3 linked regions of the Drosophila melanogaster genome follow. The protein of the gene in region 1 purifies or fractionates together with the protein of each later gene. This does not show direct contact. Each region holds a gene or a part of one and is shown on either strand. Other genes may lie near its edges.

What was found.
Region 2: the proteins of Wee1 (region 1) and Klp10A purify together in Drosophila melanogaster (affinity purification with western blotting, with the first as the bait; one study listed by BioGRID). This does not show direct contact.
Region 3: the proteins of Wee1 (region 1) and CG13605 purify together in Drosophila melanogaster (affinity purification with western blotting, with the first as the bait; one study listed by BioGRID). This does not show direct contact.

The regions. Positions count from the first base shown.
Region 1 is NT_033779.5:6,908,657-6,916,911, reverse strand, and holds Wee1 (Wee1 kinase), read left to right. Parts: upstream 1-2,773; 5' UTR 2,774-2,984; coding exon 2,985-3,486; intron 3,487-3,630; coding exon 3,631-3,967; intron 3,968-4,023; coding exon 4,024-4,728; intron 4,729-4,829; coding exon 4,830-4,963; intron 4,964-5,059; coding exon 5,060-5,211; 3' UTR 5,212-5,822; downstream 5,823-8,255. Other genes in the region: nop5, read left to right, coding at 1-14; CG32829 (uncharacterized protein), read left to right, coding at 525-1,229; x16 splicing factor, read left to right, coding at 1,512-1,869; Rat1 5'-3' exoribonuclease, read right to left, coding at 6,020-8,255. UniProt on the Drosophila melanogaster protein: Acts as a negative regulator of entry into mitosis (G2 to M transition). This kinase specifically phosphorylates and inactivates cyclin B1-complexed CDC2.
Region 2 is NC_004354.4:11,132,435-11,140,205, reverse strand, and holds the start of Klp10A (Kinesin-like protein at 10A), read left to right. Parts: upstream 1-3,087; 5' UTR 3,088-3,339; intron 3,340-3,427; exon of another isoform or gene 3,428-4,110; 5' UTR 4,111-4,289; coding exon 4,290-5,326; intron 5,327-6,519; coding exon 6,520-6,766; intron 6,767-6,842; coding exon 6,843-7,655; intron 7,656-7,771. Other genes in the region: ssp7 (short spindle 7), read left to right, coding at 1-28, 97-205, 272-362; CDK2AP1 (CDK2-associated protein 1), read right to left, coding at 1,304-2,149. UniProt on the Drosophila melanogaster protein: Required during anaphase to drive sister chromatid separation to promote flux by actively depolymerizing kinetochore microtubules at their pole-associated minus ends, thereby moving chromatids through a 'poleward flux'.
Region 3 is NT_033777.3:24,108,273-24,115,688, forward strand, and holds CG13605 (uncharacterized protein), read right to left. Parts: upstream 4,118-7,416; 5' UTR 4,051-4,117; coding exon 2,491-4,050; intron 2,277-2,490; coding exon 2,061-2,276; intron 2,003-2,060; coding exon 1,769-2,002; 3' UTR 1,672-1,768; downstream 1-1,671. Other genes in the region: eIF4EHP (eukaryotic translation initiation factor 4E homologous protein), read right to left, coding at 198-235; CG10694 (uncharacterized protein), read left to right, coding at 1-49; CG18428 (uncharacterized protein), read left to right, coding at 1,124-1,316, 1,384-1,625; CG13607 (uncharacterized protein), read right to left, coding at 6,164-7,416.

The sequences.
Region 1 (8,255 bases):
AGCACCAGGAGTAATTTCCCACCTTGACTAGTTAGTAGGCCTTAAGTTTTAGCATCATAGGTTACCTTACTGTAAAGTATAGGATTTTATAATTACCAAAACGATTAAAGTTTCCGGTGTACATTAGAAATAAAATGTAATATTTGCATAACAAAATACAAATGTTAATATGTTATTCGTATTGGTTTTGATATACTTAATTCTTAAGAAAGCAATTGCAATTGTTTAATGTCCTTTGATTTTAAGAACTAAGCTACCTCTTAGGCATTCAGTTCTTGTCTGCGAAGCTTAGCAACATATTTCAAAAGCAGCTCCCAATTTTGGAGGCCAATCCGTCACTCGCTGCGAGGTAAAAAGTACGTTTGACTGCGGTAAAGGGACCAATGGAGCAGAAAGTTTTTACGTCAGCCCCAATTGCTTGCATCATGATGCCAGGCCCAGTCATTTTGACCATTTTGTGGTCAACGGCGTGGTATATAAATGCGATTGCAACTGGTGCCATTTGAACGAGAAAACTATGCGAGATGCATGGTCATTTTAAGTTGCTGCTGGTCCTGGGACTCCTGCTGACTTACGCGGCAGCCAAGAAGAAGGAGGCCTCATCATCCGAGGAGGAGGAGGGTGGCGACAAGTACGAGAAGAAGAAGTTCGGTGACGAGGAGCACAAGGGTGAGCACGGACACAAGGAGCACAAGGAATGGGAAGAGGACGAGAAGAAGCACCACGAGGTGGAAGACCACGAGCACCACCACGGCGACAAGGGATCGAAGAAGAAGAAACACTACGATGAGAAGGATGAGCATGGTGAGAAGCATGAACACGGCGCTCACAAGAAGGGCGGCAAACATCATCACAAAAAGAAGCACAAGAAGGGTCACAAGGAATTAGAATACCACAAGAAGTTCAAAAAGGACGAGTACATCAAGGAGAAGAAGTTCTACGATGATGAGCACAAGGGCGGACATCATAAGAAGTATGGAAAGGAGCACCATCATCATGCCGAGGAGCACGGCGAGCACAAGAAGGGCGAAAAGCACGAGGGCGGCAAAAAGAAGGGTCACAAGAAGCACCACGGACACTACAAGAAGGGTCACCACGACGAGGACCACAAGAAGTACAAGAAGGAGCACAAGTACGGCGACAGCTTCGAGGAGAAGAAGGAGCACGGCGAGAAGGGCTCCAAGAAGCACGGCCACAAGCACTACAAAAAGAAGGGCGGCAAGCATTGAGCAAGCTATATTATACATGTGATCTTTATGTGAAATGCAGAATTAAAACTGGGAGAGGTTCTAGAATATTATACTGTCTTGTGTTTTATTCAATAAGCTGTTAAAACTTAATCTGCTAAAAGCTAGTTTTGATACTTACAATGTTTCAAATAATATAGCACACTATAATATATTTAAATGTATTAGTATATTAGTATATACATATATAAGGTAGCTTAAATTGTTACGTTTTTTGAAAAGCCTGATAGCTAATCACGACGATTTATCCCATTTCATTTCCAGAAGCAACTCATTCAGCAGATCTCGGAGCACATCGCGACGCAGGCGCACTCGCTCCAAGTCCGGAACTCGATCCCGCAGTCGCTCCGCCGGCTCGGTGGGCCGTCGCTCCGGCCGCTCGAACGGACGGGACGAGAACGGATCGGCGTCGAGGTACAGCGACCACGAGCGCAACGGCAGTGGAGCGGTAGATTCACCGCCGCCGCCAAAACGGCGCTATGAGGATGAGGACGATGACCGGGTTAGGGGATCGCCGCGGTCGCGTTCCCGATCTCGATCGGCGTCGCCAGCGGTGCGCCGTGGATCGCCGCCCAGGCGTCGTGGTGACTCGTCCGCCTCACGATCCGTTTCAAGGGACTAGCGACAGCGAACGGATGCAGACGGAGCCCGACATGCGATGATGAGGGCCGGAGCTGCAACCCCCCGATGAATCCGGCGAGATGGGCTCTCCACGCACTGGACTCTAATCCTCATTCCCAAAAGAAACAACCTCACGTGTAACAAGACAGATTCCCAAATACTTTTTCATGCAGTATCCATCTAAGGTTTTTAGTTGTCCAAAACCATATTAGTTAAGGGTTTTAATTTATAGTGGAACTCGAGTTTGCATATTTAGGTATTCTAATGTTCCAACACAACAACAAATACAAGCACACGCAGAACAAAGGAGAGCGCTTCGGAAAATCATTTGACGGAAGGAAATTTAAGATATAGAAATGTATCGGCAGCCGCAGATTAACGATCTAGTCAGGATTGCTATGTAAATTGATTTGCCTTGGATTTTATTTTGCTTACCCTGGAATTATACTCGAATGTGCAGAGGACGAAGCATCGCCACCATTTTCATGTCAATTTTACACAATTTTCAATTTATGCAACACAACAACTTGATTATTTGACTCCAATCTCTGTATGATGTGTTTCTATATTCGTAATAATTAAGTATTGCAACAGTGCATAATAATTATTCATACATTGATGTCATAGTTAAGTATTAAAAAAATACATATGTATGGATTCTTGAGATGTGTGTTTGAATTATGTAGCAAATGCGCTGAACACTAAAATACAGATATTCAATCAATAAATTAAATGCCAAAATTAGTTGTTTTCCATTTGAATTTGGCGGGCTTTATGCGGTCTTGAACAAGTCTGGTCACTCAGTTTAGAAGTAGGTGCGCATTATTTAAATTGGTATTTTTGCCAGATGTTTAGTATTTTGTTTGTTTGGTAACTCTGCACTTCCAGTTACTTAGTATTTTTTCAGTCAGAGCTGGTATTTTATTGCGCATCGGGTACGGCCACATTATTAGACTAGCATTCCTCCAGTTAAATTTTGTTTTGTGTTTTGTTTTGCATTTTTTTTAACTATTGCCTTTACTTTACTGCCGCCGGCTTCCATACAAATAGTTCTGAAATCAGAAATAACGAACAGAATCGTCTTTCAACGTGGTCAGCTGGACAGCTACAGCAACAATGGCATTCCGCCAGTCGGAGCACGAGATGAGCGTCACCTCACTCGATTCAAGCGTCGAACTGAGATCGCGTTCGCCATCGCCGCAGGTCTTCAATCCGCGCAAGCTCCGCTTCGCCGATGATGACTTTGACAAGGACACGCCCGAGGGAGCGAGTCCGCAGCATCCCCTTCAGCAGCGGCCGAAGCTATCCTCCGGTGAGGAGCAGCAGCTGGACAGTAAGATAGGCAAAGAAGGCGGCGACGGGGACGTGTCCATGTCGCCGCCATGCCAAAAGGTGCGGGCCCTGCGACTCTTTAGCACACCGGCCACTCCAAAGACCATCCTGCAGAAGTCGACGACGCAGTGCAGCAACCATCTGTCGGCGGCAGCAGCGGCAGTGAATGCCTCCAGGCGCAGCGACGACCTCTTCCGCCTGTCAGAGCGCCCGCGATCTCTGCCACTGCACAACCGCAAACTGCCCACCCAGGACACGGCAAATGTGAACCCCTTCACGCCAGATAGTAAGTTTAAAACGTTTCTCGCTTTTGATATTTTAATTAAATAAAGGTATCAATTTCCAGTTCGTTGCTTTAATTTGCACTCCACTTTAACCCATCCCAGCTTAGTCTTATTAGCAATCTAATAATCATTTTTTTTATTTTTAGGCCTCATGGCTCACAATAAGAAGCGCTGTCGCACGCAATTCGGACGCGAAAACCTCAACCTGAACGTGAATGCTATGCAAAAGTATTTGCTCAGTGATGCCTGCGACGACGATGTGACGGAGGAGGCGGGCGACTCGATGCGCGAAATCCACCAGCAGGCACCCAAGCGGCTGGCCCTGCACGACACGAACATCAGTCGCTTCAAGCGGGAGTTCATGCAAGTCAACGTAATCGGCGTTGGCGAGTTCGGTGTGGTGTTCCAATGCGTCAATCGACTAGATGGCTGCATATATGCGATTAAAAAGAGTAAGAAGCCGGTGGCAGGCAGTTCTTTCGAGTGAGTATTCATTAGTTATTGCAACGAGCGTCGTTTAACAATCTATTTGCTTGCAGAAAGAGAGCCCTGAACGAGGTCTGGGCCCATGCTGTATTGGGCAAGCACGATAACGTGGTTAGATACTATTCCGCGTGGGCGGAGGACGATCATATGCTGATACAGAATGAATTCTGCGATGGTGGCAGCTTGCACGCGCGCATCCAAGATCATTGTTTGGGTGAGGCAGAGCTAAAGATTGTTCTCATGCATGTGATAGAGGGCCTACGCTATATTCATTCAAATGACCTGGTGCACATGGATCTGAAGCCCGAAAACATATTCTCCACCATGAATCCCAATGCACACAAGCTGGTGGAGGTGCAGCCGCAGCAGACCAAAGATGACGATGGCATGGACAGCGTCTATGAAGAACTGCGCCATTCAGAGAATCTGGTTACGTACAAGATCGGCGACCTGGGACACGTGACCTCCGTTAAGGAACCCTACGTCGAGGAGGGAGACTGTCGTTACCTGCCCAAGGAGATCCTTCACGAGGATTATTCGAATCTCTTCAAGGCCGACATATTTTCCCTGGGCATCACGCTGTTCGAGGCGGCCGGCGGTGGTCCGCTGCCTAAAAATGGACCCGAATGGCACAACTTGCGAGATGGCAAGGTGCCGATTCTGCCGAGCCTGAGCAGGGATTTTAACGAGCTCATAGCCCAGATGATGCATCCTTATCCCGACAAGAGGCCCACTTCGCAGTCTATATTCAGTCATCCGTAAGTAAATTGAGTCGACAGTATAAGCGACAATCATATTTAGTTGCATTTAAGATAAATGTGCTCACACTAAATACATATAATGTTCGTTTAATTTGCAGAATTCTGAGTGCTGTTGACTCCAAGAGCAAGCTGCAGCTCGGCCTGGAGCTGACCGTGGAGAAGCGCAAGAACGAGATACTGATGAACAAGCTGAGAGAGGCCAAAAAACAGATTAAACTGCTCGAGCAACGAGGTAAGATAAGATAAATAGTTGTATAACAACTTAAACTTTAAGGTGGTTGGTTATCTGGATGTTTACAATTTCTAACGTTTCTGCAACTCATTTTAGTCAATCTTCTTGCGGTGACTAACAATCCGGACAGTCTGGATGGACAGCGTTGCCTTCGCAGCTTCACGCGACGCATGCGCACGCCATTCTCCAGCCATGGCAAGTTCGACAGCATATCCGATCGCAACAAGAACGTTATCACCAATATCTGATAAGCTCGCAACAGATGCCGAACCGATAGCTAAACTCTTCCGAATCGAACGTGAACTAAGCTCACATTGTGTTACCTTTTAAGCGTATTCATATAATCGATACATATTTCTAACTATTCGCTTTCGTTTAAGCTCATGGATTTTGAAGCATTCGTAAATATAATCTATATATTTTTCAAGCTCAGTGAACTTTTCCCTGTTAAGAAAGCACAATCGTTTTAAGAAAAGCCCCTTGTAAACTTTAAGATTCTCGCATAGTTGTAATGAGTATTGTTTTCGAAATTAAAATATTTATTATGTTACATGGAAATCGAAATAATAACATTCCATTCGTTAAATATAGCGAATGCTATTCCATAAAAACTACTGGATTTATTATGACTCCGGATTTAAAACAAAATGTTTGCGAAGTTTTTCTTAAATTCAATTGTTTACTCCACTAGAAATTGTTTTGATATTATCCAATTTCCTGTCAAATTATGTTCCATTTTCCTTATCTGAAAATAACAATCGTCTCATTTTTTTGTATTATCCAGCTAGTTTGCTTTTTTTACGCAATCAATGGAAAGAGAAATGATCATTATTGTAATTTGACTTATTTTCTTTGAGGCACTAAGACTAGATGTTGGCTGTAAGCTGCTTTGATAGAAATGCAATGGGTATTTCATTTAAAGAACAAACTCAGAACTTGGCATGAGTTTGTTTGGAAATCCTTAATCAGTATATTTTCTTCATTAAAAAATAATGTAAATTAATATGGATTACACTTTTGTTATGCGCTACATATTATATTGTTTGTATGATACACCTAAAACCGTCTATAATTCTGATTCTGTTGCCTGCTGCCGCCTTGTTGCTGGTAGTTGTTGTTCCTTGGACCATTATAGTTGTTAAAGTTGCGCTGCTGCTGATTCGAATTGTCCTGGTTGAATCTCTGATTGTGGCCATATTGCTGCTGCTGTCGGTTATTGTAGTTGTTTTGATAGCCGCCACCCTGGTGCTGATTGTAGTTATTGTTGTAGTTGTAGTTATAGTTTCGGCTATTGTTCTGATAGCTCTGTCCTTGGTTTCCGCCTATTCCCTGGCCGTAGCCGCCTCCTTGCCCGTAGCCTCCTCCTCCACCTCCATTGCCACCGCCACCCTGTTGGTTCCTTATGCCAGCGTTCAGCATGCGGTGACCACTATCCGGAACGTAGGCCCTGGTCAAGTGGCTATTAAAACCGATGACGGGACGATGCTTGTTACCAGACTGCTCATTTGGCAGCACCTGTGGCGGATCTACGGCGTTTTCGAGGCGCTTCGCTTCGAAAATGTAGTCTTCATCGTATTCCGGATCCCTGAACGTGGTCGTCACGGTTATATTGTCATTAATGTCCGATAGCCCGGAAATCGGCGACTTAAGAACGCCGCTGATGGCAGTGTTTAGTTCGGTTTTTCCCAAAGTGCCGCGCATACCGTCAAATGAGATGGCTTTGCAAACGCTCTCATCATCCTTTTCGCTGATTTTCTTCACCTTTTTGTAGTGCGGACTCTGATTGCTGATGTACAGGTAATTGTCTCCACGCTTGTTTCGCTTCACCTCCTCTCCAGTAAGTTGATCATAGTAGGGAACCAAAGCCTTGAAGAGACGCTTCTCATCGACGAACGGCAGCAGAGCCACTCCCTGCCAGGCGAACTTCTTGCCATTCAGATCGATCTTAAAGTCCTCCGGATAGAAGTCAATGATCGGTGACTCCGGATCGGACATGAGCTTGGCCCACGGCTCGGGCACGTGTGAACTACTGGCTGCCGGAAAGACGCCCATCAGTTGCTCGAGCGGATTAAACGGCTTTGTGCCCTTTTCGAACATCGTGGACAGTCCCTGGATGTTGACAAAATCCGATGCGAAGGGTGCATAATGGTATGGGAAGTACCAGTTCCAGGAGGCACAGCCCTGATAGTAGTACTTAAGAACCCAGCACAATCCTCGGACATACTGCAGGGCTACAGCGTATCGGAACTGCTGGTTACCCGGTGCCACGTCAAACTTGGATTCGTAGTAGCGGTCCTTGAAGCCATCCTCCCACAATCGCACCTCGTCGTTATTCTCCTCCTCATCTTCGTCATCCAAATTGGCCATGTCACTCGTCCGTTTTCTATTACGAAGTGCCGCGGCCTCCTCCTTGTAGTTGCCGACGCTCCTTTGCTGGCTGTTTGGACCCACGGCGCTGGCGCCAAAAGCAGACTGATTCAAGGATCCGTGGTCCTGATTCCTTTCCTGCCTCTTGCGCGCCTTGTCCCTGGCCTTGAACTGCTCCTCGCGTCGCTGTCGGCTCTTGAAGATCTGGTCCTCGGCATTGCCCAAGTCGGTCATAATCAGCTGCACCCGGTCAAGATTTACATCTCCCGAGTCGGTGAGATAGCCCCTTGTCTTGTAAACGCACTTCTTGTATAACTCCACCAATCGATCTACTGCACCCTCGCGAATCTCCAGGCTAGGCAGGTGGGGCAGAAAATCATTGCCCACAAAGAAGCACATGAACACCCAGTCGTCCAACGCGCGCTCGAAACTGTACTCAAATGGCAGATTCGGCATCTCAAGAGTCTGCTTTAGGTACTCGCGTAGCACACTCAGCCGCACAAAGATGAACTTTACCTCGGCGCCTATGGGCACATCGGGCTTAAAATTGGCGCTAGTTGGCGCAGTCGCTCCGAGTCCGACACACTTGTCCATCTCGTGGCCAAATCCGTTGCAGATGTCGCAGGGACGCGGCTTATTCGGCAGGAACTCCTCCCGAATGATTGTGAAGTTGGGCTCGTGCGTGGCCAGACCCAACATGATGAGATCGGCGTCGGCTCCGCACAAGACGTGCTGCGTGTTGGGATCGTGATCAGGCTGGGCACGCTGCTTGCGAATGTAATCCATGATCTTGTGCTCACCCTCACCGGGCACATTGGCGTCCGACAGGATCACCTTGATGCCCTTCCAGGCCGGGTTATTGTTTTGACGATCATGAACAAAGTAGTGCAAACACTTGCTCAGTCGGTCCATGAACGGGGTGCCC
Region 2 (7,771 bases), on another chromosome or scaffold:
GGCGCCCACTCGCTGCTGGTGTTCGCCGGTAAGTGGATGCAGTGCATCGTCGCCACAAACCATTCAATCCCGCATGTTCATCTTGTTCATTCGTAGTGGATTGCGAGATCGGTGGGCATCAGTTCAAGACCGGAGAGAAGTACACGCCGGAAGGTCGCTGCCTGCAGTACACCTGCCAGGCACCCAAACAGGTGACTGCCTTGGGGTGAGTAGCTTCTACATGGATTGATGACTCCTTGACTCACCCACCTTGCCACTTGTGGCCATCCAGATGCCCGGCCATCGCCTCCTTGAAGCCCTGCAAAATGGAAGAGGATCTGAGCAAACCCTATCCCGGCTGCTGTCCCAAGTTCAACTGCTGACAACGCCTCCCTCGCAAGTCGAACTGCAAATGTGAAATGAACTATGAAAACTGAATATATAACTATAGAAACATACATACCTTAAATGAGAGATGCAGTTGGATGGATGGTTATGAGGGGTTCATACATAATTAGAATCAAGTTTGCCAGTTCTGCGTTTACAAAAACCAAAATAGCGCATTTATTTCGATTTCGATTTCGGTTTCGGTTTGGTATACATGCTTGAACTTAGTCGTATTTGCTCTCATACATATAGTAAATAATGTGTATACATATATAAATATTCTCGTGTCAATTGCCACTAATTCACCATTCACTTGGACATGCACACTGTTCGCTTGCATAACAAGTATATATGTATACATATATCTCTGCTTAACTACATCTACATATCTGCATTTGTATAGTTCTCTAAAATAACGAGGAGCAGCTTTATCCGGCAGTGACAAACTCGCACAAATCCTGTCCAGATACATCCGTATCTGCATCTGCATTTGTATCTGCAAATCCTCGACGGCGGTTGCCATTAGATACTCGTAATTGATTGCATTCACTAACGCAGACACAGGAGCAACTGGGTCTTGCATTAACGGATACAAATTAATGGGTATACGGTAGAGATACACAAGTCCAATAACTTGGGCTGCAGCTATACTTGTAGCATTGTCGATTTAACCGATTGTAACCTGAGCTAGTCTAAACATTCTTTAACTATGGTCCGGCGGCCCGAGGGCCATTAAGTTGATGTGGGCTTACAAGTTAGTACAAATTGCTACACTTTAATGCTTAATTGGGACAAAATGGATCTTTGCGTTTGCTATATGTCCGTGTTTTTTTTTGTTTTTTTTGTTTGGGGGTAATTAACCTAGATGAGGCCGATCCTCGCCTCCTGGTCCATTTCACTCCGGGGTCGCCAGCTGCGGCGCCAGCGACTCCTCCTCTCATTGGCGCGCCGCACGCTCCGTTTCCATGAGGCATTCGCGCACCAGGATGCGGGCATGGACAATGCCCCGCTTGAGACGCTCCGTGGAGCTGCGCGAGCCCGTGTACGTGGGCCGGATATCGCGGCCCATCTCCTCAATGACGGCCAGCAGCTGGGCGTACTTGGTCAGCCCATTGCCCGGGCCCACTGAGGGCAGGCTGGCCGTGGAGGTCAGCGGCGTGGTGATATTGGCCGAAGTTTGGGTGGTCACCACCACGGGCGAGGTGGAGGGTGGCGGGTACTTTAGCTGCGATGAGCTCAGATTCAGGCCCATGCTCTGGCCATTGCTGCCAGAGGAGGTGGAGGAAACGCCGGCACCGGAATTCCGCTGACCACCATTGCTGGAGCACATGTTGGCCAGCGAGAGGGCCGCAGCGGCGACGGCTGCCGGCGTGGCCGTCGTGTTCGACTGCTGCTGGAGTAGCGCCAGCTGGGCCTGGAGGAACTGCGGGGAGTATTGGAGGGCAGCGACGGCGGCGGCAGCTGCTGCTGCATTGGCCGCTGCAGCGGAGCTCTGCTTGCTGGACGAGCTGCTGTAGTCGCTGGCGGAGGAGCGGTCCCGCTCCCGCTTGCCACCGCTGCTCGTGGAGTAGTCGGTGGCAGCGTTGGATGAGTTGGATCCGCCTCCTCCGCCAACGGATCCACGCGAGTGGTGGATGGCCGATATCTGGATTTGGGGCTGCTGCTCGCGCTGCTCCCGCTGCTGCTGGTAATTGTAGAAATTCTGCACTTGGCTGCGCGGTATCGGTGTCACCGTGACGTCACTCAGCTTGGACTCTACGGCCTGGATATCCATGATGTCCATGGTGGCGCTGGGCGATGTGGTGTCTGGAGTCGATATCCGTCGGTTGTTGTGGTAACTTAACTATGTCCACCTTTCCGTTTTCCTGGCACACAAAACTACTAGTTTTTAGCGTTTCTTTTTTGGTTTATTGTTTTTTGTGATATGATATCGATATCGATATCAGGAGGCGTTATTACGCTTTCCCTTCAACGCACAAACAAATACACCCCCACCAACAAAAGTCGATGGTTCGGATTATAGTATCGATAGACAAGCGCGATGCAAAGTGCCCACCTATTCGCGTCTCGAATGTGGGTGTTTCCACTGTACAAGCAATTTGTATACATGTGGAAAGCTCTTTGTCCAAATTGGTAAATGGCTAAATGTTTTTGAAAAAAAGATAATTAACAACCATAAAACTACAAGAAAATTACAAAATTTAACCCAAGTGCATATGTATACATGAATGACAAAACGGTAAAACCATGCAAATGAATAACCATCCACGTCGAATAATACCTAGTTCACCCTGATAAGGCACTCCCAATTTGTCTTATTAAACAGCTAATTTTGTTAGGGCTTAAAAATACCCAACGTTATGTATGTCTAGTGTTGTCTAGTTTCGGGGGGCGGAAAAGCCAATTGCACACAAATATACAAAGTATTGCCGAAACGTTGATTCTTTCAATAAATAAGGCACATTTTAATGAACTTATGCTTATGCCAACAAAAGCGGTCGCTTATTTTTATTACTTATTGATATAAATTCCAAAACAGCTGACATTTTTAACGGTTACTTTGCCTAGTGTTGGCCAAGACATCAATCTTAATAATAAACTCTCAAGTTGTCAAAATTATACTTGTATTTCTACTAAAAAGTCATAAATATACCCAAAAACTACTTAGCCAATAGTAACCCTGCTTAATATGGATTTTATTCACTTATTAACACGCCAATTGTCTCACTTTTCAAACACAACGGCTGATTGCCAGCACTGTTTGCGCTGCAGTCCAGTGCTGCGCAACGCGGCGGGGACAAAAAACAATGGCGAGGCGAAACTAAAAAATTGTGTTGCTGACATCTGGTCGCTTGCAAAACTATTTCTAGCAGATTTTGTGATATTTCGTTGTGATCGGTCGATAAATCCGCCAGTTTTTTTTTTAATGGAAAGTGCTAACACATTGTAGCGGTTGGGAAGATAGCAGGAAAGGTGAGCGAAAGGCAGAAGATTGCGAAAAATTCAATTAAATTTCCGCGACCGTCTGTTTTCTGCATCGGTGTGTGTTTGTGTTTGCTCGCAAGTGTGTGTGGGTGCTCTGTGTATGACGTAAAGCGATAAAGCAAACGCATTCCCCCCACTCCTTGCATATGTGTGTGTGTGCAAGTGTTGTGTTTCTCTCTCATCAGTTTTGCATCTAATTAGGAGCGGAAAGCATTGATTGGCTGCCAAACGCCGCGGTTTGTTGTTTTTTTCGCTGCATTTCGGCCAAAAGGCTTGCCGCAGCTGCATATGTGTCGCTATGTGTGTGTCAGTGTTGCACAGTGCCGCCAGTGCCCACAAAATGGGCGCACAACAACAAAAGCAGCAACTCGGTTGGGATTTTCGCGATCCTACGCTGGCTCGGAGCTCCCCTTTTCCTATTTCCAATTCCCAGCCAGCGGGCTGCCGTTTTTCCTTTTTGTTATCCGTTGCCAGACGCAACGAAAACGACAGTTGGCATTTGAATTCAGCACAAACACACATACTAACGCCGACCCGCAAGCAGCACACACACACACACTGGGACACTCGAAAAAAAAAAAACAGACGCTGTCGGCGACCTCGACAAGCAGTTGGGTTCGATTTAGTTGTCAATGCCTTGAATTCGGTTCGGGGCTTAGTTTCCACAAGTTTATCGCTCGTCAAGAAACAACGAAATAAAATTATTTTCGACCTAAAAAATCTGACTAAATTGTGTTTTTTGTTTATGTATTTATTTAGGCACATTTTGCACACCACAACGTAGTTACTACATCTACGACTAACGGAACTCCTCCTGCAAGCAGTGGAAGTTGCTGTCCATCAAGCAGTACTCGGAGTTAACGCAGGATAAGCCGGGAGAAAGAGAAAGAGATCGGTGGAGAATAGAGATATACAGGTGGAGTCAAAGAGGAAGGATCATGGACATGATTACGGTGGGGCAGAGCGTCAAGATCAAGCGGACGGATGGCCGCGTCCACATGGCCGTGGTGGCGGTGATCAACCAGTCGGGCAAGTGCATCACAGTCGAATGGTACGAGCGCGGCGAAACGAAGGGCAAGGAGGTAGAACTGGACGCCATACTCACGCTCAATCCGGAGCTAATGCAAGATACTGTCGAACAGCACGCCGCCCCGGAGCCCAAGAAACAAGCCACCGCGCCGATGAACCTCTCGCGTAATCCCACACAATCGGCTATCGGTGGCAATCTCACCAGCCGTATGACCATGGCCGGAAACATGCTGAACAAGATCCAGGAAAGCCAGTCGATTCCCAATCCGATTGTCAGCAGCAATAGCGTGAATACAAACAGCAACTCCAACACTACGGCCGGCGGAGGTGGTGGCACCACAACGTCGACGACCACTGGATTACAGCGTCCACGGTACTCGCAAGCTGCTACCGGCCAGCAGCAGACAAGGATCGCCTCGGCGGTGCCTAATAACACATTGCCCAATCCCAGCGCGGCAGCCAGTGCTGGTCCGGCGGCACAAGGAGTCGCCACTGCGGCCACAACCCAGGGAGCTGGCGGCGCTAGTACCCGGCGATCGCACGCATTGAAAGAGGTGGAGCGACTGAAGGAGAATCGCGAGAAGCGACGCGCCCGACAGGCCGAGATGAAGGAGGAGAAGGTGGCGCTGATGAACCAGGATCCGGGCAATCCAAACTGGGAGACGGCGCAAATGATACGCGAATATCAGAGCACGCTGGAATTTGTGCCGCTGCTCGATGGCCAGGCCGTCGATGACCATCAGATCACAGTGTGCGTGCGCAAGCGTCCCATTAGCCGCAAGGAGGTCAATCGCAAGGAGATCGATGTCATTTCGGTGCCGCGCAAGGACATGCTCATCGTGCACGAGCCGCGCAGCAAGGTCGACCTCACCAAGTTCCTGGAGAACCACAAGTTTCGCTTCGACTACGCCTTCAACGACACGTGCGACAATGCCATGGTATACAAGTGAGTATCCAATCCAAATAACAAGCTCCAAAACAACTCCATATATGGTCTGTTTGAATTACTAGTAGTGATTCTAAACAAACGCTCGATATGGTGACCACACATTCCAATGTCTTGGGGAGGCTTCTTCAATTACTAATGCGTATCCTTGCTAGCAAACGGCTTTATTTCAATTGAACTGAACTATAGAAAATCTTATTTCGTTATAGATGACCCTCTATAGCTATCATTCAATCTTAAACCTAATTTGTTGATGCAGTGGAATCATATATAGTATAAAGCAGCATATCCTTTAAAGAAATCATTGCCCCATTTATCAGATTTCCATCGAGTAACCAAATGTGCCAGTCACTTTTCGAGCTCGTTTCGTTGGCGCATCTCTGTTAGAGCGACCCATTGAGTCATGCCGACAGAGACGGCAACAGAGCCACACACATGCATCATGAAAGCGGTTGCTCCCGAAATAGCCAAGTTCGTTGAATGACTAACTTGGAAGCCCCAGACGCTTCACCTGCCCCCGCCCGGCCACTCCGTCCGCCGATCTGCACACGAGCTCTCTAAACCCAATTCTCCAGCGGAAGAGATTTCGAAAAAGTAACTGCCTTGTGGCCCGGCATTTGTCCATTAGCAATTGTTTGGCTTCAATTGAATTAAAGCTGCTACGGCTGCTGCTGCCCCTTTCCTTTCTCCGCCAACTTCTTGCTTAGCTTCTCTTTCCGGTTTTCGCACTCGTATGTATTGTGTGGCTGTCGGGAATTGGTAATGCCATTAGTTGCGTCACGGCAATCGCTTAAGTATAGCCCAAAAAGTATACCCCATGAGTAATATAGCCCGGCATTAATGCACAAAATCTCGCCGATGATAACGTAGTCTCGTGTTGACAAATCCAAATGGGTGAATCAACTGCTGACATCGTGCGTTATCAATACTCAGTATTGGCAGAAAACAATGCAACTTACACATTTATTGATTACATTTCAATATGCGTTCCTTAATTAGTCGTATGTATAATTCTTATCGATAATCATTTTTACTAAGCAACTGCTAACTTTGAATGCAAATCGATGTATTTATCTATGATTAATGCTAAAGTCTGAAACACAACAGTCCATATAGTATTGAATGCTTGCATATAGCACATATCTGCATTGAATAACCATGCTAATCTATAATCTTGCACTTCATCCGCGCAGATACACAGCCAAGCCGTTGGTGAAAACCATTTTCGAGGGCGGAATGGCGACGTGCTTCGCCTACGGCCAGACGGGATCGGGCAAAACGCACACCATGGGCGGTGAGTTTAATGGAAAGGTGCAGGACTGCAAGAACGGCATCTACGCCATGGCGGCCAAGGATGTCTTTGTGACCCTGAATATGCCGCGTTACCGCGCCATGAATCTAGTCGTCTCGGCCAGTTTCTTTGAGATTTACAGTGGCAAGGTGAGTGAGACAACATACAACTTGGCATGATTATCATACTTAGCTGTATTAATCGATCGTTGTGTTGTTGCCATAGGTCTTCGATCTTCTGTCCGACAAGCAGAAACTGCGCGTCCTGGAGGATGGTAAACAGCAAGTGCAGGTGGTGGGACTCACCGAGAAGGTGGTCGATGGCGTCGAGGAGGTACTGAAGCTCATCCAGCACGGCAATGCTGCCCGAACATCCGGCCAGACGTCGGCCAACTCCAATTCGTCGCGTTCGCACGCCGTTTTCCAGATTGTGCTGCGGCCGCAGGGCTCGACGAAGATCCATGGCAAGTTCTCGTTCATCGATCTGGCGGGCAATGAGCGGGGCGTGGACACTTCCTCGGCCGATCGGCAGACGCGTATGGAGGGTGCCGAGATTAACAAATCGCTGCTGGCCCTCAAGGAGTGCATTCGTGCGTTGGGCAAACAGTCGGCCCACTTGCCCTTCCGTGTCTCCAAACTCACCCAGGTGCTGCGCGACTCGTTCATTGGCGAGAAGAGCAAGACGTGCATGATAGCCATGATCTCGCCGGGACTTAGCTCCTGCGAGCACACGCTCAACACGCTGCGCTATGCGGATCGTGTCAAGGAGCTGGTGGTCAAGGATATCGTCGAAGTTTGCCCTGGCGGCGACACCGAGCCCATCGAGATCACGGACGACGAGGAGGAGGAGGAGCTCAACATGGTGCATCCGCACTCGCATCAGCTGCATCCCAATTCGCATGCACCGGCCAGCCAGTCGAATAATCAGCGTGCTCCGGCCTCTCATCACTCGGGGGCGGTCATTCACAACAATAATAATAACAACAACAAGAACGGAAACGCCGGCAACATGGACCTGGCCATGCTGAGTTCGCTGAGCGTAAGTATTTGCATATTTCTCACCTAGAAGTTACACACAAGGCCATAATATAATATATATTCTATAATATATGTTATATAGCTTAGTAGGCTTAGTTTAGGGCATTTGGCATTGTC
Region 3 (7,416 bases), on another chromosome or scaffold:
GCTGGCCGCAGAGGTACTAATACGCCAGTCAGAAGAGGATCGAGACTAATAAAGCGATTCGGAGCACGTAAATGCACCCAGAACATAACCTAACAATTTTCCAAGTAAAGATGGTGCTGGCCCAGTTTTGTTGCTGGCTGGGATTGTGGTTGTGTGTGGCAGGCGGTGCGCGTGGGTGGCGGAGGTGCTCCACTTACGTCTCGTACTGCTTGTTGGCTACTTTCTCCATGCTCATCCTGGCAATTATGATGCTGACTGGTAGCTGATACTGGTGCTCTCCTGCTGACTGCTTGGCTGTTCCTGTGGCGCTGTTCCAACCTCTGGAACGAGTACCTGTGGATCCGGGTGTTTGCACTACTAGATTCTTTATGCTGCTGCTTCTTCTGGCGCAATTCTTCTTTTGCTCCTTGGCTGCGCGTGTGTGTGTTGTGTGTGTGTGTGTGTGTGGGCAAATGGGTTTTTGGTGGATTCTCTTATGGGCGATTTTTTGGGGCAGCCGCTTTTTCGGGGAGCGGTTCGCTACGGGTCCGCCGCTCTCTCTGGTAAACAATCGTATTTCCTGTGCCTTATCCTTTCCGGTTATCAGTGGGTTTGCTTATTTTTTGGCCGTTTAGTTTTGGTTCGCTCGACTTTAGTTTGACGTTTCTTTTTGTACACAACACAACATGCGTCCGATTAAGTTCCACTTGCTATCCACATTCCACGCGGCGCTGTCAAAATCGACCAGTGCTGTAGGTCGAAGAAGAATTTTGACATTGGCCAGCACTGCACGTAGTGCAGTTACATACCCTACTGAAGTGGGTATATATGTTTCATTAATTTCATTAATTTTTCAACTCGAGTTAAATTGATTAATTTCCGTTGTTTGTTAGGGAAATTAAGTGACTCAAATACCAACATTTATTTCAACTCCAATAATTATAAAAATTTACTTTATAATGTAATCAATAATAAAATGAATAATTACATAAATAGTAAACATATATTCCAAAATATTTTTTAAGAATGCAGCAACACCGCTGACACAACATACCCCACATTTGGTTACAGGGTATCAGAGTATCGAATTTTTGCTGTCATTCTTCAAAAATCAGTTTGTTTACGTTCACCTGCAAGCCGCATAATGGGAAAAAGTGAGAAAAAATCAAAGAAAAAGCATAAGGAGAAGCGCAGGGAACACAAGGAAAAGCACAAGTCAAAGAAATCCAAGAAACACAACCGAAAAAAGGAAGAATCTCCGCCGATAGCTTCACCAACACCAATACAGCCTGAAAGGGTCAACCAGGAGGAGGAGGATGACTTTGCCATACCAATAGGTCCGTAAGAGCCCCCCTGTATATATTTATTATTGCTGAACACTCTAAACCCACCCCAAAACCCAAGCACTGATGAATAGCAAATCACATGCCCCGGAAACTCCAGAGGAATACCAGCGCCGTCAGAGCCAGATCCGCAAAGAGGTGGACCCGGTGACGGGTCGCGTCCGGCTCATCAAAGGCGACAGTGAGGTGCTGGAAGAGATTGTGACCAAAGAGCGCCACCTGGAGATCAACAAGAAGGCCACCCGCGGTGATGGAGAGTTCTACGAAGCCAGATCTCTGGACGCCGCCAAGCGTCGCAAATAGCTAATTTACCAAAAATGCAAAAATATAATAAGCTATTTCATGACTTGTAGTAATAATTAATAACTGTCAGTTTAATTAAACAAAGGGCTAGCTAGCGACTATATGTACACGCGAAATCCGTGGAAATTTCTTTGGTGGCGCAGCTAGTACAACTGATGGAAGAAGGTAGTGCTGCCGTCCTGCCAGGCGGGATCATCGCTAACCTTCGCCCTGCACATCGGACAGGTCTGTTCGCGCTTGAACCAGGTCTGGACGCACTCATCACAGAAAATGTGGCCGCACTCCAACACAGTGGGTGTGTTGAAGGCGTCATGGCAGATTGGACACAGGGCACCCGCAGCATCCAGCTCGTCTTTGGTCGGCGGCCGCTCAGAGTCCTTGAATAAATGTGTATTAGAAATGTGTACATAACAATCAAGTCTCAGGCATTCATACAATATTTTTTCTGAAGGTCACAATGGCTTTCTTTAGCGACTTGCCGCGCTCCACCAGCTCAAATATCTTGGCACCCAGGTACATTGCGGAAAAGAGTCCTCCGGAAACCACCTCCAGGCCGGAGTAGGACTCGTATAGAAATAGGAGCCACTGGGTAATGGGTGTCATTGCCCGGTAGAACTGCGAAATGTACTCCACCAACACATAAAGCCTAGCCTGAAATGCGAAATCAATGTATATAAATGGAAATGTATATTACAAATGGGACTTTCCATTTTCCATTTGATAATGTAAGCTCTTAATTAAATTGAAATTATGAATATTTTTGAGTTGTTAATGCATGAACTAAGATTTCATCATTAGCGTTAATTTTATGCTTTGGCATTGGGAATTTATCGCACATTGATCCCTGTGGAAAGGAATTACTCACCCGCACTTTAAGTCTCATCAAGTGGTGCGGCAGCATGGTAATAATAAGTTTGACCAGCATTGTCAGCAGTTTGATAATGAGATCGCTCACAGCAATGTAGTACAGCAACATGCCCAGTGGGATCACATTTAGAGATTTGTACGTATCTTTGTACATGTTGGTCTTGATGGGTTCGGACGATGTTGTGGGGCTGTCGCCTTCCGAGCTAGTGTGAAAAGGCAGCGCTGTGACCTCTATGAAAACGGATTTTCTGGAAGGCGGCACAATCAGTCCAAACGGATCTGGCGGCGAAGTGGCCAAAAATAGACGCACTGTAACCACCACGGCAACGAGGAAAGTATCCCGCACCATCACGGCGTAGTTCTTCTGAGCTAGACGGGCTACCTGATTGCGTACTGATCGGTTAACATTATACATCACAGTCTGCAGCACCAGAAGATCCACAATGCCCAGCAGGTGGTCGTGTAAAAACTTGAAAAACAGTATAAAGATAAGCGGCAGATATCGCACAAAATGGCTGAGAATCTGGACCACCATGTCATCCGAGATGAGATGTTCATCCTCTGGATTATTCTCTGCTGGCTCTGGTGGATTGCCACCTCCACCTCCGTTCTCCACGTTGCCATCGCTTTCGTCAAGGTCTTGGCTCTCATTTGCTTCGCGTTCGTCGAAGGCCGCCGGATTGCTGTTTAGTCCTATGGCACTGGCATTGTGCCGTCCTCCGTTAAGGCTGTGATTGTGTCGCATCTCACCCTCACGCAGCGAGATACTTCTACCCATAGCTCCAGCTGAACTGGCTCCAGATACGGCCGAAACGCGCCCGTATCGCAGAGGGCTGACTGGCTCAGGCATTGATGGTTGCTGCTGGCCGAGCAGTATGTGCGAGTTGTCTACGGGATTGGCGGCTGGCTGAGGTCCTGGTGCCGCGGGGGCTGCAGTGGTTGCAGGTGGATATCTAAAATTGGAATGTGAGATGAAGGATCGGAGCGCCTCTGTCGACGAGGCAGTTGAAAGCGAAAAGACATCGTTGAGGTTGACACGCCAAAAGCCCATTTGTCGAACACCTGCCGCAGTTCCTGGCGATGCTCCTGGTCCACCTGCTGCTCCGGCGCTGGACGGCTCCTCGAGACTGCCACCGGTGTTGGCGCCCATACTACGGGACTGCTGAAGACGACGGTTCATCTGTGTGGTCACCCGCACCGGGGAACTGCTGTTGCTGGCTGGCGTGTACGAGCGCTGACGGGCCAAAAATGTGGATAGAATGTTACCATGACGGACATTACCACCACTAAGGCTGCTGCTCCGCGCCGTGGGAACGTGTTGGTGGTCCAGGTTTACGCTGGTGCTGGTCGATCCTCCAGAGACGACGCCTCCACCTCCGACGCCACCACCAGAGGTCACCGAAGATGAGGAGGCAGGCAGCAGGTAGTCGTGTTCCGCCGTCGTCGAGTCATTGTCGTCGCTCTCGATGTTGATAGACACACCGGTCGATCCAGCGCCATCCTGGGGTCCAGAACCTCCTCCTCCTCCACGATAGGGATCCTTGGGGCTGTTGTTCATTGTTCCACATCCAATCTCCAATGCTTGGAGCTGGCCTTTTTTCACATAGAACACCAATACGTCTAACAAAGTCTTCCGTATTTTGCCTCCGTTGTCAGCTGGTCACACCAAAATCTAGCTTAAAATGAACGCGGTTAAAACCGAATTAAACACTATTAATACACATATACAATACACTAACTATCTTGAATTCAAAAAAATAACGTTTTTTATTTATAATAAGATAAGATTTATTTAAGATGAAAAAACACCACAAACTCTTCAAAGATAATTTTCAAAACAATAGGACATGTACGGTCACACTTTGGGGTGGAACATGTGTGGACTGTGGATTTATAAAAACAAACTCAGCTACTTTTTAACACAAATTTTTCATGGAGGTAGGGGTAACCTGTATTTCAGAGAGGGGTTAAAAATTTGGTTGGTGTCGATGGCAATTAAATAGCCTACATATTTCTACATGTCAGTAGTTGTGCTGAATCGGTCATTTTGTGGTTACATTTTTTAAGACAATTCGCTCTTGTGTTATTATAAATAATATAATTATAATTTAATGCATTATTTCAAAAATTTAATAAACAAAAATCCCTCTATCAGGCGAGCAAAAGATATATGCTAATTTTTGACAGCAGGTTCTCTCAGCCAGGTTGGCCGAGCGGTCTAAGGCGCCAGATTTAAGCTCTGGTTCTCGAGAGAGAGCGTGGGTTCGAACCCCACACCTGGCAAAAGTAAAATTTGTTTTTTTTTTTAGAATGACTCTTTTAATAACATTAATAAGATGAGGAAAATTATTTAATTTCCCTGGCAGAGAGTATTAGATTAACAAATTAATTCATCTGAACATGAGTCAGTGATAACCGAACAAATTGATTTCAACAGATTAAATATCATTCCATTTCGCAATATCTGTTTACTTTTTTTTAGATCTAGGAGTTTTTTAAACCAATTTAAGTTAATTTATTCACTAGAAATAAGAGACGGCTCTCTACCTCATAAATTATGCAAATCATTTTCAAATTTCTCTTTTTGGCCTCGTGGTGCAGTGTTCTCCACCTTTTCATGCACTTCGCTGGCCCATTGATAAGGATAATGGAAATGGCTCAGTTACCACCAACCAACCGCAATTAAGCTGACCCAAAGCCGTTGCCTGGTTACCCAAAAGGTGTCCACAACAACTGGCCGCGTTCAGGAAGCAGAAGGCCAAAACAACCACCGCCAGGAGTGCAGGCACCGCCGAAGGACCAAGGACAAACCCTTACAACCCGTCTGGTCAGTTCGGTTTGTGTATTTAGACAAGGAGTAACGTGTGCAACGTGTTAAATATTCAGCCAGATGCAGTTTATAAATGGTTCACTAATATAAATGGGTAAATAGAAGATACGAATATGTGCGGTTAATAGAAAGAAAACGTGTAAACGATCTAACGATATTACGTTCTAGATTTAACGTTCTAATATTTAAGTGAAAAGAAATTTCCTTGTTTTTAAGTATAGTGAATTACGCAAAGAACAAAAGAGTGTGTAACTAAACAATAAAAACAAATCCAACTATTATATTTATTATATATATCATGATATATGAAGAAACTACCCCAAATATTATTAAGCTTATTAAGCTCAAGTCATCTTCAAATCGCATAACAAAGAAGTGCCGCACAACAAGCTGAGTTCCAATCGAAATAAAGTTCGCATAAGTAAAAAATTAAGTCAAATGGGCAATTAAAATATAAATATTATTTATTGTACAATATATTGTGGTATAAAAGCTATATTCGTGCATGTGTGTATGTGGTGTGTGTGTGTGTGTGTGTGAGCGGTACACGTTTGTTTTTTAACGGCCTAATCTTCTTAGATGGATGTTGAACCCCAATGGCGTAAACAAAAAAAAAGAAATAGTATAGAATGCAAAAATATATATATATATATATATATATATATATATATATATATATATATGTACATATATATGCTATATAGATTTCTATATATTCCATTATTGATCAGTCTGTGTAATCTCTCTCGCTAAAGAAACGCCTGATGCTGGATGCTAGAGGCTAGATGCTGCTGTTCGATGCTTAAAGCCGATGCAGTGGCTCCAGCTCCGGCCGCTCCGTTCAATGAACCGGCACCGTGATGCGTGGCGATAAGGTTTTGGTCGCGCTGCGATTCCGGCGCTGCAAAAACAGCTTCACGTTCTTCAGGGGCAGCTGGAAATGATAGTATGCGCAATAGGGTAGTGGATCCCAGTAGGCAAACAATGCCTCCCGCTTGTCCAGCGCCGTCGTCGAAGTGGTTCTCTCCAGCGCCGACCAGCTCCAGTTGGGCAGTTCATCCTCGGGCAGTCCCCGCCTGTGGATGCACTTCATCGCACGGCACAGCAACTGGGCATGCGATCGATTGTGGCATATGTAGGGCAGGGCCACGCCCAGTCGCGTGCCCAGAGGCACGAACTGACCACCATGGGCGGGGCTCTTGACCAGGCGGAAGCTTATATGCCCATTGATGGGCCTCTGGAAGCGCACCTTGGCAAAGAAGGAGCGCAACCAGAGTTCTATCTGCGCCTCATCGTCCCTGGGCACTGGGATCAGATTCTTGGTATGATGCTCAACCCGACAACTCACATTGGCCACCACCCGTGAATCCTTGACGGTGGTGCAGGTCACATAGTGGTGATAGCCCGGCTGATCCCTTACCACTAGCCACGGTTGCCGCTCGCTGATATCGTGCTGATTCAGCTTTAGTTCCGCCCGCCTATTGGGCAGTATGTACTTGTGCCGCTCCAGGACTCCCTGCATCCCTGCGGCCATGAGTATGTTCCTATAGCTGCCCACGAAACCGCTCTCGTAGATCTGCTGCAATTGCCGTGGAGCTGTCAGCACCACATGGGCTGGCAGAGCCATCTGTTGCTGTTCGCATCTCTGAAAGAGCTGGAGGCAGTCATCCAGCTGCAGTGTCTCCTGCACGCCGGGTATGAAACTGGCACAGCCCAGGACCTCCAGATGTGGTCGGGCCAGGGAATCATAGTATGCCGGACTGGTGGCACAAACGGGTATATAGACCGAGGGTCGTTCCTTCTTCACGATGTGGCACAGGGCGGCTATGTACTGATCCGGATTACTGGCCGTTGGCCGTGGCACCACATAGAATTTGTCCACCGCTGTGGAAAATCTGGCCAATCCGAACAAACCCTCGAACTCAAAGACCACCACACGGGCGCCGGATCCGTAGAAGTTCCTGGCCAAATGTAGGGTCTGTATGGTGCTGCCGCAGCTGAGGAGTATGGTCTTCTGTCGCTGCACTGCACCCAGCTCCTCCTCGCCGCTCAGTAGCCACTTGACCAACGCAATGGGTACCCGCAGCAGTTTCC